3 linked regions of the Rattus norvegicus genome follow. The protein of the gene in region 1 interacts with the protein of each later gene in a pairwise test. Links are inferred from orthologs where the notes say so. Each region holds a gene or a part of one and is shown in the gene's direction. Other genes may lie near its edges. The genes, in order: Spdl1, Car8 and Dnaaf4.

Region 1 (3,654 bases):
GATTTCATCTAGAGAAGTCAGAACAGGAACCTGGAGGCAGGAACTGATGCAGAGGCCATGGATGCTGCTTACTGGCTTGGCCAACCTGTTTTCTGATACTATCCAGAACCACATGTCCTGGGGTGACACCACCCACAGTGAGCTGGGCCCTCTTACATCCGTCATTAGGAATAAAATGCCTCACAGACTTGCCTACTGGTCAGTCTTGCAAAGGCATTTTCTCCGTTAAGATTTCCTCTTTACACATATATCTAGGTTTGAGTTAATTTGTCAAAAAACAAGCAACACACCAAAAGACCTGCCTGAGATACTGCTGCTCTAGCCCAGACCATAGCTGTCTTTCCACTGGACAGCTGCTGTATCCTTCTAACTGGTGGCCAGCTTTCATCATTACCGTTCATACGTCACATATCCAAGAGGTCATGAGAAAATAAACCATCTCCTTTCTTCCCTTCTGAAAGCCACATGGGGCTTTCTGTTGTATTTTTGGTATAGTCTGAGCTCTTTACTAGGTTTTGTATATTCTCGTGTTCTGCTCTCTTCCTAAGGGGGCAGCACATTTCAAATGTGTTTTCTGTAGTCTTTCCTATACTGGCTTTATATTGGATGTTTCTCCTGGAGTTACTCGTCCACTCTTCTTGACTGAGTCCTCAACCACAGACTGTCAGTCACATGTCCTGTAAGCATGGTGGCTAACACTGACTGTATAATGTAAAACTGCGAACTCTCCTGCCGATTATCTCCAGAGCTGCAAGCAGTGTGAGAGGAAATCTTGTCTAGTCTTACGCACTAACATACACCTATTACCTGCCACACAAATGGTTTTAAAATTACTAGATCAGTTTAATATTAAATGTTTAGAGTTTTAAAACTGAAGTTCGGGATTATCAGTATAGCAGGTGGACATCACTAATGACATGTTGTTTTCCCAAGAGCTGCTGTCCTTAGTAAGTACTCCATGCCCAATCACAAGGCGAAGATCATATATCTCAGAATGGAGACAAAGTCGGTGTGCAGAATTATATGGTAACACTATTAAATACCTTTTTAATAGACGTATACATCTTAGGAACCTTTTATAGTAGTTTTTGCAGTAGTTTTCGGGGTTAGTTGTTCCTCCCCCAAATCCCTCCTCTACCCTGCTTTATCTCATTAAAAAAAGAAAAGAAAAGAAAAAAAGAAACGGAACTGCAATACTTTTTAACCATGTCTATAGTTATTTTGTAAATGAAACAGTGCTCTGAAAGTATTCAGTATTTTTCCTCTTACCCATCCCACTGTTTTTCAAAGCAGTCAAGGAAGAACATCTCATTATCAGATAGTAATGCTTACCAGGAACATTGGAGTAGCGTGTCCTTTAACTTTGGTACGGTGTCCTTTGTTTTGTCTTCCCATAGGGATTGATGGACCGTCATGCTGTGAGGTTCATCCTTCCTTGACAGAAAACTGCAATTACTGTCCCTCCAGCACGGACTTGACATACTTCTCCTATCTATAGTTGTTCATAGATAACACATGGACAACTCTAGATATTTATATGAAATGATAATTTATAAATCTGTAATGGTTACGTCCTGCTTGGGTACCTGAAGCAGATGTTGCTCCTCTTGATGTCTCGTGAGGTCATTAGTCACCTAACACGATGTCAAATGCCTTACACAACACCTGACACATTTCATCTCATCACATGGATATTATACTGCCTCACATCTAAGAATAGTGACTGTAGTATAGAGATATTTGAGAGAAAAATGACACATAACTTTTTAAATTGCTTTTTTATCATTGGTTATATCATTAGTCTCTTATTCTGTCAAATTAAAAATTAAATTTTATTCAGTCAAATACTACATATTGGGCATGGGTGAGCATGGTATGTATAGGGTTTGGTACTGTTTATGGGTCCAAGCATCAGGCGGGGGTTCTGGAAACATATTCCTGGTAGATAAGGTACAAATGACATCCAGTGCTGAGCTTGGATGCCTGGCACAAGGTGATCTGCTGAACAGGATTCCCTTGTAGTCTGTGCGTCACAGCATCTGGCGTCCATGAGCATTTGCTCCTGCTGCTTGGAGAATGCGCTCCTATACCTGTTCCCTTAGAAAGTCTCTTCTTGGGTTGGGGATTTAGCTCAGTGGTAGAGCGCTTGCCTAGCAAGCACAAGGCCCTGGGTTCGGTCCCCAGCTCCGAAAAAAAAAAAAAGAAAAAAAAAAAGAAAGTCTCTTCTTAACTTGCCCCTGTCCTCAGTACCTGTCACTGTGGCTTAAGGTTGCTGAGTGTTTGCTTTAGATGGTCTTGAGGTTAGCTTTTGGAGTAAGCACAGAATGGATAGTTGTTGGAAAGGAGGGCTGAGTTTCTCTGAGGTGGTTATAGTGTTTCTGGTCTGTTGATACCAAAGGCCCCTTTATTTTTTCTTGTTGTCTCTCAAGTGGATTCTAATTATGGAAAGATTCTGTTATTGTACTGTTGTATTAAATAAGAAATAACTTACTGTTCTAATAATCAGCCAAATTCTTAGTTTGTGATCAATGTGCAATAAAGCTTACTACCATGTTAAATCTTACAGTTACACTTACAGTTATTTAGCCAAGAGCAAAACTTTTTCAGGAAATCCTTAACACTTTGCAGTCTGTTCCTTCTGGATTTGACATTCAGAGACTGACTCCTCCATTACTACTTGCTCTGCTGGCTTTCGGGGCAACAGAGACCACAGGTTGGAAGGCGAAGTCAGTAATTTCCTAGGACCAGTGTCTTTCCTTCTTTCAGCTTGAGCATTCTGAGACCCCTGCAGATCCAAATCCACCTTTTGGGGTTCATTAGACTGGTTACAGGTCTGGGCTCATAGGTCCTGAGTATAGTTCCCAGACACGGTGGAGCATGGTCCTATTGTTATCCAGCTCTGGAGCGTCAGAAGTAGGTGGATCCCAGCTCAGCCCATGGCAGTCCCTCCTGCCTTAGTTAGCAGGCAGGTTTCAGGTCAGTGAGAGACTCTGTCCCCCAAATAAGGTGGTCATTACCCGAGGAACAACACCTGAAGCTGTCATCTCTCCTACAGTAACATACATATACATGTGTGCTTCCCCATGTGAACATGATGTAACCCTGCCCCCAACTCAAAAAAGTAAACGAAAGATTAGCTATGTTAGCCCCAACTTGACAGGTGGTTGTTCCTTGGAAAGCAGCAAATGAACCAACCAGCTTAAGGTGCTAACTGGTAATATCCAATGATTTTATGCATTTAAATGTGTTTTCAGAATTATAACCAAGAGAAGTATGCCCTTCAAAGAGAAGTAGAGCTCAAGAGTCGGATGTTGGAGAGTCTGAGCTGTGAGTGTGAGGCCCTGAGGCAGCAGCAGAAAGCGCAGCTGGAGCAGTTAGAAATGCAGCTGCACAGAAGCCACCGGCAGGAAGTGCACGGCCTGAGAAACAAGGTTTGGATCTGTGTTCAGAGTGCAATTCCCTGTGCTTGCACGGTTATCTGTAAGCATTGGGTGCGTGGGGTGCGTAAGTTCTAGCTCTACAAAACAGCTAAGTTTCTCTATGTAACGCTTTGAGTGGAAATACCGAGAAACAAGCTATGGCAGGAATTTGTATACATGCTAGGCTTCTAATTACAGGTAATAATTTATTTAATTATTTAAATCAGGTAGATGA
Region 2 (3,654 bases), on another chromosome or scaffold:
GATACTTCAGGATATCCAATACAAGGTAAATCATTATTTAAACGAATGTAGAATGGTTTTGCGTGAATTCCCAGTGGCCATCTCTAGGCTTGATAACTCTCTAGAAGGACATATGGGACTCTGACTGGCTAAACTGCTAAAGTTAACAGTTATGGTTTATTACAGGGTAAGGCAGAGAAGGGAACATGGCTTGAAGCCTAGGGGGACCTGGAGCCAAGCTTCCTAGTGTTTCTTCGGGGTCCCTAGTTGTCCCAGCATGATGTGTTACCTGTGTGAACTTTCACATCCTTGGTGTCTAGAGAGATTTTCAGGGACTGATCATTTTTCATGGATTGCTTAGTCAATTTTCCCTGACTTCTTAAGCCCTGTTGTTATTTCTCTAACACTGAGCCAAGCCAGGCATCTATATATTTCCAGGATAAGCCTACTGGCTCACATTGGTGTAACAGGTCCCAAGGGTGGAGTTGAAAATCCCCAGGAGTTCACCTTAAATATGGCATGACCCAAGCCTTCAGGTATAGGAAAACATCTTACCAGGGGTGGGGGCGAGGGACTCCAAGGCCTCAGAGCCCATCTTCTGGAAGGCAGCCAAAGGGCTCCTCCTGAAGCCAGGGTGGAGTCCAGGAAGTGAGGATGAGACTTCCTCTAATAGCTTTTCCTCTGGCACCTATTTTAGTAAAGATGTTTCTGAGGGGCAGTTGACACGAGTTGCATATTCTGGCATTATAAATGAAGTTTGTATTCAAAAGCAAGCAGCTATAGACGCAGAGAAGGTATATTTTTCTGGATCCAGTCTATTTCACCCCACTGAGAAGAGTGGCCCACTCACTAATATTGGAAACTGGTAAGATCATCAGAAAAGTCTTCAGTGTAGAGACCTTTAGTTTTAATAATTTTTATTCGAAATGTCTATAACCTTTACATTAATGTGGACTGAATTAAGTTTTCTTTTTCCAGGGAAAATCCAAAACAATTCCATGCTTTAATCCTAACACTTTATTACCAGGTAAGCATTTATCTGACAGCCATTAATGAACTTTAACTGTGTGTAACCTTCCCGGTTTCCTTGATTGTTCATAAGCATCTGTAATTAGCTGACAAAATGTCTTTGGAATTTCTGTTCTCTGGACCAGGTGCCATTTCAGATCACTGTTGATAAGGCAGGAAAGCCTTTGAATGTTAGGAAACCCTTGCCTCTGCTTCCTTATTCCAGAAAGAACTTTCTCAGTGACATCATTTGTAAAATGCAAAGTGGCCACCTCAGTGTAAAGAACCCACAAACATCAAATAACTGATACACTTCCAAGACAACCACCTTATTGCTAGAATGAAATAAACATCATGTCTACTTTTATAAGGTTACACCCTTACAGCATCACCATTTAAATATTCTAATTGTACATATGCATGGGTAATAATTATATATAAAACATCCTGAATATAATGTGGAGTTATAGTTTTGCTTTCCACATTTCTCTGCTTACATTATGTGCTGTTCCATAGTGCTTCAAACTAAAGCAATCACGTTGATACATTGTATCCTCTCTCCACATTTAACTGCTCTATCACAAACTAGTTTTTCTCACATATTGAACACTTACCTTGGTCTCTATTGAATCCCCAGTTCTCTTAGGCAGTGCTAAGGAGTTCAAATAAGTGACCTATTTTCTCTGATCAGAAGTAGGGTTTTAGTAATGTGCTGTTGAAGAAGCAATGTAGAGATGGCTACAACAGAATGTTTAAAAACACCACCATTATTTAGGGTCAAGTCTTCCACCAGTTAGTAGCTGTGTGATCTTGGATAAATTGCTAACACTCTATAACTTAGTTTTCCCATATAAAATGGAATGGGGCTAATATGTCACATTTATTTGTTGAGAAGATTAAATGAATTGATATATACTATTCCAAAGAACACTCGACACATAGTTCAATAGAAGTCAGCTATGAATTAGCTATTATGAAAAATGGGTAATAGTTTCTGAACTACATTAAGGCATATGATAGAGCCATTGATAGAAATCTCTGTAAATGTAAAGGGAATTAATTACGGTTTTCATTGATTATTTTTTTCAAAAGTGGTAGTGTGAGAATTTGTATATGAGGCTCTAACTTAAAAATGGCTTCCATTTGAGAAATGTATGTGAGTTGACTGCCATTTTGAAAACTGCTGCTAAAGTGTTAAGTCATCAACTTTCGTAACATATCCATGTATTTGTGCAGACCCTCTTCTGCGGGATTACTGGGTCTATGAAGGATCTCTTACTATTCCACCTTGCAGTGAAGGAGTTACCTGGATATTATTCCGATACCCATTAACTATATCCCAGCTGCAGGTGAGTATTTAGATCTTTCAGAGTGAAGCTCCGGGGCTAAATATCCTTTCTATAAAGGGAAAATGTCTCAATGTGCTTTAGTTCCTGTTGTTAGACTGTCTTAGCTTTCAGGTGAAAGTTAAATGCTGGGGGCCAGGGAAAACTATAGAACAGTCACAGATGAATGATGCCCAATGCTCATTTATGGTCTGCATTCTAAAAGTTAGTTTTTGTAGAGTAAATAGAACTTTCCATGAAACAGCCAAACTTTGGTTAGTCTAGCCATTGCTTTATATGGATGTTTCCAGGTATGGGGAAGAGAAAGTTCTGGAAGTAGAGTCTGCTGATGATTTCACAGGCATGCAGTATTCTTTCTTGACATGCAAATAAATTACTGTGATGTATGAGGGTATGTGAGAGAGTCAGAAAGCAAGCCCTGGGAAGTCCTGGATTGTTCCCTGGGGTTGTTTGCTCTTTTTGTCCTTGGGTTCCACATAGATTCTCTAAATGCCAATGAAAGTCATCTGTGGAGACACTCATCCACAGGGATGCTAAGGTGATAAAATCATTTGAGTCCCGGAGTTTAAGACTCGACTAGGTACTGTAGCAAGATGTACCTGGAGGAAGAAGGAGGAGAGACAGCCCAGTAAATTTTGACTGGATTTTAGCTGGGAAAGAATGAATCAGCACCTCTCTTATGTGTTGATGGTTTTGAAGGGGCAGGGGATAGAGCTCTTGATGAGCGAGCGTGTGTGGTCCTGGCTGTGACTAACAGGACCACTCATATAGGAAAAAAAATGATGATTATAGCACAGTGCATAGAGGTTTGCAAGGTTTCTGTCTTTCCATATCTAAGGATCATATCCTCTAAAGCTGTATTTTCCCATCATGACCAAACACAAATGTTTAAGAAATAGAACCAAGTTTTCTTTAGGATTTTTTAAAAATATATCATCATTTCTTGAAATTAAGAAGCTCAAGTTTACTAAATTCTAGATTGATTGCTTTGCTAGTATTATTTTATTTTTAAAATATTATTTTCATTTGTATTGATTATATTGATTATACTGTATAATTTCCTCCCTCCAAAACCTCCCATGTTACCCTACTCTCAGCTCCTTGAACTGTATGGCTCTTTTCATAAATTGTTGCATAATATGTATATATATATATATACATATGTATTCATAAATACATAGATTTAGTCTGCATAACATTATTTGTGTGTACATTTCCAGGACTGATCATTTGATATTTCATAATCAATTGGTGTGTTCGTTTCTGGGGAAGACTGTTTCCTGAACTCTCAGCATTCCTTGGTTTAGCATTAATTCTTCAA
Region 3 (3,654 bases), on another chromosome or scaffold:
GACCACGTCTCAAAATAAGGAATTGCTGCAATCCCACTCCTTGAGAGGGAGAGAGGAGACCTGGAGTTTAAGGCTTTGTTTGGCCACACAGCAGGTTCCCTAGACTGTGCCACGTGAGCCGCATGTGAAAACCAACAATAAGTGACATAATTTTAAAAGGGGAAAAGGACAGGGGATATAGGTCCGTGTTATAACACTTGTCTAGATCATGAGGCCCTTGATCAAACCTCAATACTTCAAAGGCCTATAATCCTGGGAGCTTGGAGGCAGAAGCAGCTCCATCTATATAATGAGTCACACACATCAGGGGCAACATACAGACTGACTTTTTCCTCATAGAGTAATCCAGGAAAAAAAGGAGCCCATGGGACATAGAGTTAGACACATGTGCCTAACTTGGCTGGGAGCCCCAGATCCCAGCGAGAGACCCTGTCTGAAAAGCCTGGTGAGGCTGAGTGTCAGCCTAGTCTACATAGTGAGTTCCAGACTAGACAGGGCTACCTAGTGAGACTCTGTCTCAAAACAAACAAACAAACAAACAAACAAACAAACAAAACCAACCACCAAAAAAGGCAGATGGTTCTCAGGGGACAAAAGCAAGCAGCATACACTTCATGGATCTTCCCTTTGCTAGTCTAGTCCCTCAGAGCCTGTGCATAGGCAGGCTAGGTGAGTGTGGTTCTCACCCACAGTAGCTCTCCACCAGAGCTGAGGGAGGATAGGCTTTTTTTTTTTTAAGATTTATTTGTTTGTTTTATTTATAAGTACACTGTAGCTGTCTTCAGACACACCAGAGAGGGCATCAGATCCCATTACAGATGGTTGTGAGCCACCATGTGGTTGCTGGGAATTGAACTCAGGACCTCTGGGAGAGCAGTCCGGTGCTCTTAACCACTGAGCCATTTTGCCATCCCAGGATGAAAGTTTTGTGTGGAAGGTTTCGGAAAACCTGCAAACTCTTGCCCTGCAAAGGGATCATCATGCTTGTTATTTGTATGAATCTGTCCGCTGCTTCCTAAGAGACCCTGTCTGCCAAGGCTGACTGCTACACAGTGTCTTCTGAATGATAGTGCCAGGCTGGGAGTGCTGCTTGGTGGTCAAGAACATGCCTCCCACATGTGACACATGAGGCCCTAGCTTCAACCTGCAGATTCCTCCCCTGCGCCCCCAAACCGCAAGATTGTCCCAGGGGATCGTGAGAGCTGTCTCCTTATTTTGTTGAGCCAGGTTCTCTTGTAGCCCAGTCTAACACTGAATTTGTGCAGTTCTCTGGCCTGTGCTGGGGTCATAGGTATGAGCTACCTAGTTTAACCTGTGTACCTAAATGTGTTCAGAACAGGACCAGGAACCCTACCTTTGCTCCTGTGTTGAAATAAACTAAGGTCTGTAGAGACAGGCCAGTCTCCTCACCCTGCTTTTCCTGTAGAAGGATGATAGGATTGCCATTACAAGGTGGCCTCTCAGCCGCAGGTGTCCTCCACTGATGGTGCTTTACAGCTTATCCTAGTCTGTTGCAGTACTTGGTGTTTAGAGTCTGTTGACAAAGTGCAGAGGAGGCAAAAGTCACTCTTCCCTTTTTACGACCCTTTTCCTCTAGGAAAAATCAGTTGAGTGCACTGCCAGAGAGCACCAAGCCATGACTTTCGTTTGTTTGCTTGTTTTGGTTTGGAGACAAGCTCTCACTTTGTAGGCTGGCCTGAAACTCCCTATATAGGCTAGGCTGGTCTTGAACTCACAATGATTCTCCTGCCTCCACCTCCCAAGCATATGCTTTCATACCTCTGAGGAGTTTGTTTTACTAGGTTTTTGGGTTTTGTTTTGCTTTGTTTTGACAGGGATTTTATGTGTAGCCCTAGCTGTCATGGAACTGGCTCTGTAGATCAGGCTGGCCTTGAACTCACAGACAGCTGCCTATTTCTGCCTCTGCCCCTCTGCCCCTCTGCCCCTCTGCCCCTCTGCCCCTCTTCCCCTCTGCCCCTCTGCCCCTCTGCCCCTCTGCCCCTCTGCCCCTCTGCCTCTGCCCCTCTGCCTCTGCCTATCTCCTGAGTACTGGGATTAAAAGTGTGTGCCATCACCACCCAACAAAATTTACTCTTCTTGAACTGACATATCAGCATTCCTGCTTCTGCCTCTAAACTCCTGGGATTGTAGGCCTTTAGCACCATGTCCATGTTATTTGTTAAAATCATATTTAGAATTCCTCTCTCTGCTTCATTCTGAATGCTAAATCAAAGGGGCATGTGTCCCTTTAGTAAGATGTACTGATGCTGGCTGGCTGACCTGTGCACGCTCTGTCCGTCCAATAGATTTTTGCAGTATCAGGGTTTGAATCAAGGGCCTCATGATCTAGACAAGTGCTATAACACGGACCTATATCCCCTGTCCTTTTCCCTTTTTAAAATTATGTCACTTATTGTTTGTTTTCACAGGCGGCTCACATGGCACAGTCTGGGGAACCTGCTGTGTGGCCAAACAAAGCCTTAAACCCCGGGTCTCCTCTCTCCCTCTCAAGGAGTGGGATTGCAGCAATTCCTTCCTTATTTTGAGACGGGGTCTCACTAAATTGCCCATGCTGACTTTCAGCTTGTTGTGTAAGCCAAGCAAACCTTGATCTCATGTCTTCTCACCCCTGCTTGTGAAGCAGCTGGGATTACAGGTCTGTACCACCAGGCTGGTTGGTGGTGCCTGTGTGCTGACACAGGTGTCACACTCAGCTCACAGCTTCCAGGTGTCGTGAAGAGCTGTTCCCTCTGGTTCTTGTCCTTTCCTGTTCTCTCTGCACCAGCTTTCATGTAGCTAGTTTCTCCTATGGTTAACAATGAGCAGCCGCATTTGTGCTGTGTGCTTCCCTCCTCTGTATCCAGCAGAGGGAGAAGTTGTACCAGCTTCTCACACCCCAACTTGAGGCCAAAAGCACCAGCTTCATTCAGGCCAGTTTAAGCCCCTTTCCTATCCCTAAATAAATCAACTTATCAAGGAAGATTGACATACGCTTGCTGCAAAGGATGGCTGCCTTTGTGTGGGAGGATCTGTCCTACTCCGTGTGCTTGCTTGGTGTATGTAGAGAGACGGAGTCTGTGGTAGGCGGTCTCCATCTGACTGGGAATAAACAAGGCAGATGGTAAACTGACTGACTGAGTGCCAAGTAGGGTAGATGTTATTTCTCCATGTCTGTTTCAGTGTTAAATTGGCCTTTTCTTTTTGTCTCATTAGCAAATTGTTTGCAACAGAAAACTACTTGGCAGCGATTGACGCCTATAATTTAGCCATACGATTGAACCGTAAGATCCCAGTACTGTATTTGAATCGGGCTGCTTGCCACCTCAAGTTAAAAAACTTACACAAGGCCATTGAGGACTCTTCTAAGGTAAGTACGTTTCTCTGTTTAGGTGTGTTGTGAATACATTTATGTATTTACTTCATTTAAGAATATAATGCTTTGGGGCTGGAGAGATGGCTCAGTCGTTAAGAGCACTGACTGCTCTTCCAGAGGTCCTGAGTTCAATTCCCAGCACCCATATGGTGGCTCACAACTGTCTGTAACTCCCAAATCAGACACCCTCACATACCTTTACATGCAGGTAAAACACCAATGCAACATATATATATGTTACAAAATGAGACTCTCTTAAAAGATCAAATGAGACAAATGTG

What was found.
Region 2: the proteins of Spdl1 (region 1) and Car8 interact in binary tests that used the Homo sapiens proteins (3 or more experiments, as listed by UniProt). The two-hybrid records come from large-scale screens. The link is inferred for Rattus norvegicus from reciprocal best matches to the Homo sapiens genes SPDL1 and CA8.
Region 3: the proteins of Spdl1 (region 1) and Dnaaf4 interact in binary tests that used the Homo sapiens proteins (3 or more experiments, as listed by UniProt). The two-hybrid records come from large-scale screens. The link is inferred for Rattus norvegicus from reciprocal best matches to the Homo sapiens genes SPDL1 and DNAAF4.

What each region holds. Positions count from the first base shown.
Region 1 is NC_086028.1:19,791,688-19,795,341, reverse strand, and holds part of Spdl1 (protein Spindly), read left to right. Parts: intron 1-3,254; coding exon 3,255-3,431; intron 3,432-3,654. UniProt on the Homo sapiens protein: Required for the localization of dynein and dynactin to the mitotic kintochore.
Region 2 is NC_086023.1:26,144,150-26,147,803, reverse strand, and holds part of Car8 (carbonic anhydrase-related protein), read left to right. Parts: coding exon 1-25; intron 26-957; coding exon 958-1,006; intron 1,007-2,223; coding exon 2,224-2,336; intron 2,337-3,654. UniProt on the Homo sapiens protein: Does not have a carbonic anhydrase catalytic activity.
Region 3 is NC_086026.1:82,585,195-82,588,848, forward strand, and holds part of Dnaaf4 (dynein axonemal assembly factor 4), read left to right. Parts: intron 1-3,213; coding exon 3,214-3,367; intron 3,368-3,653; exon of another isoform or gene 3,654-3,654.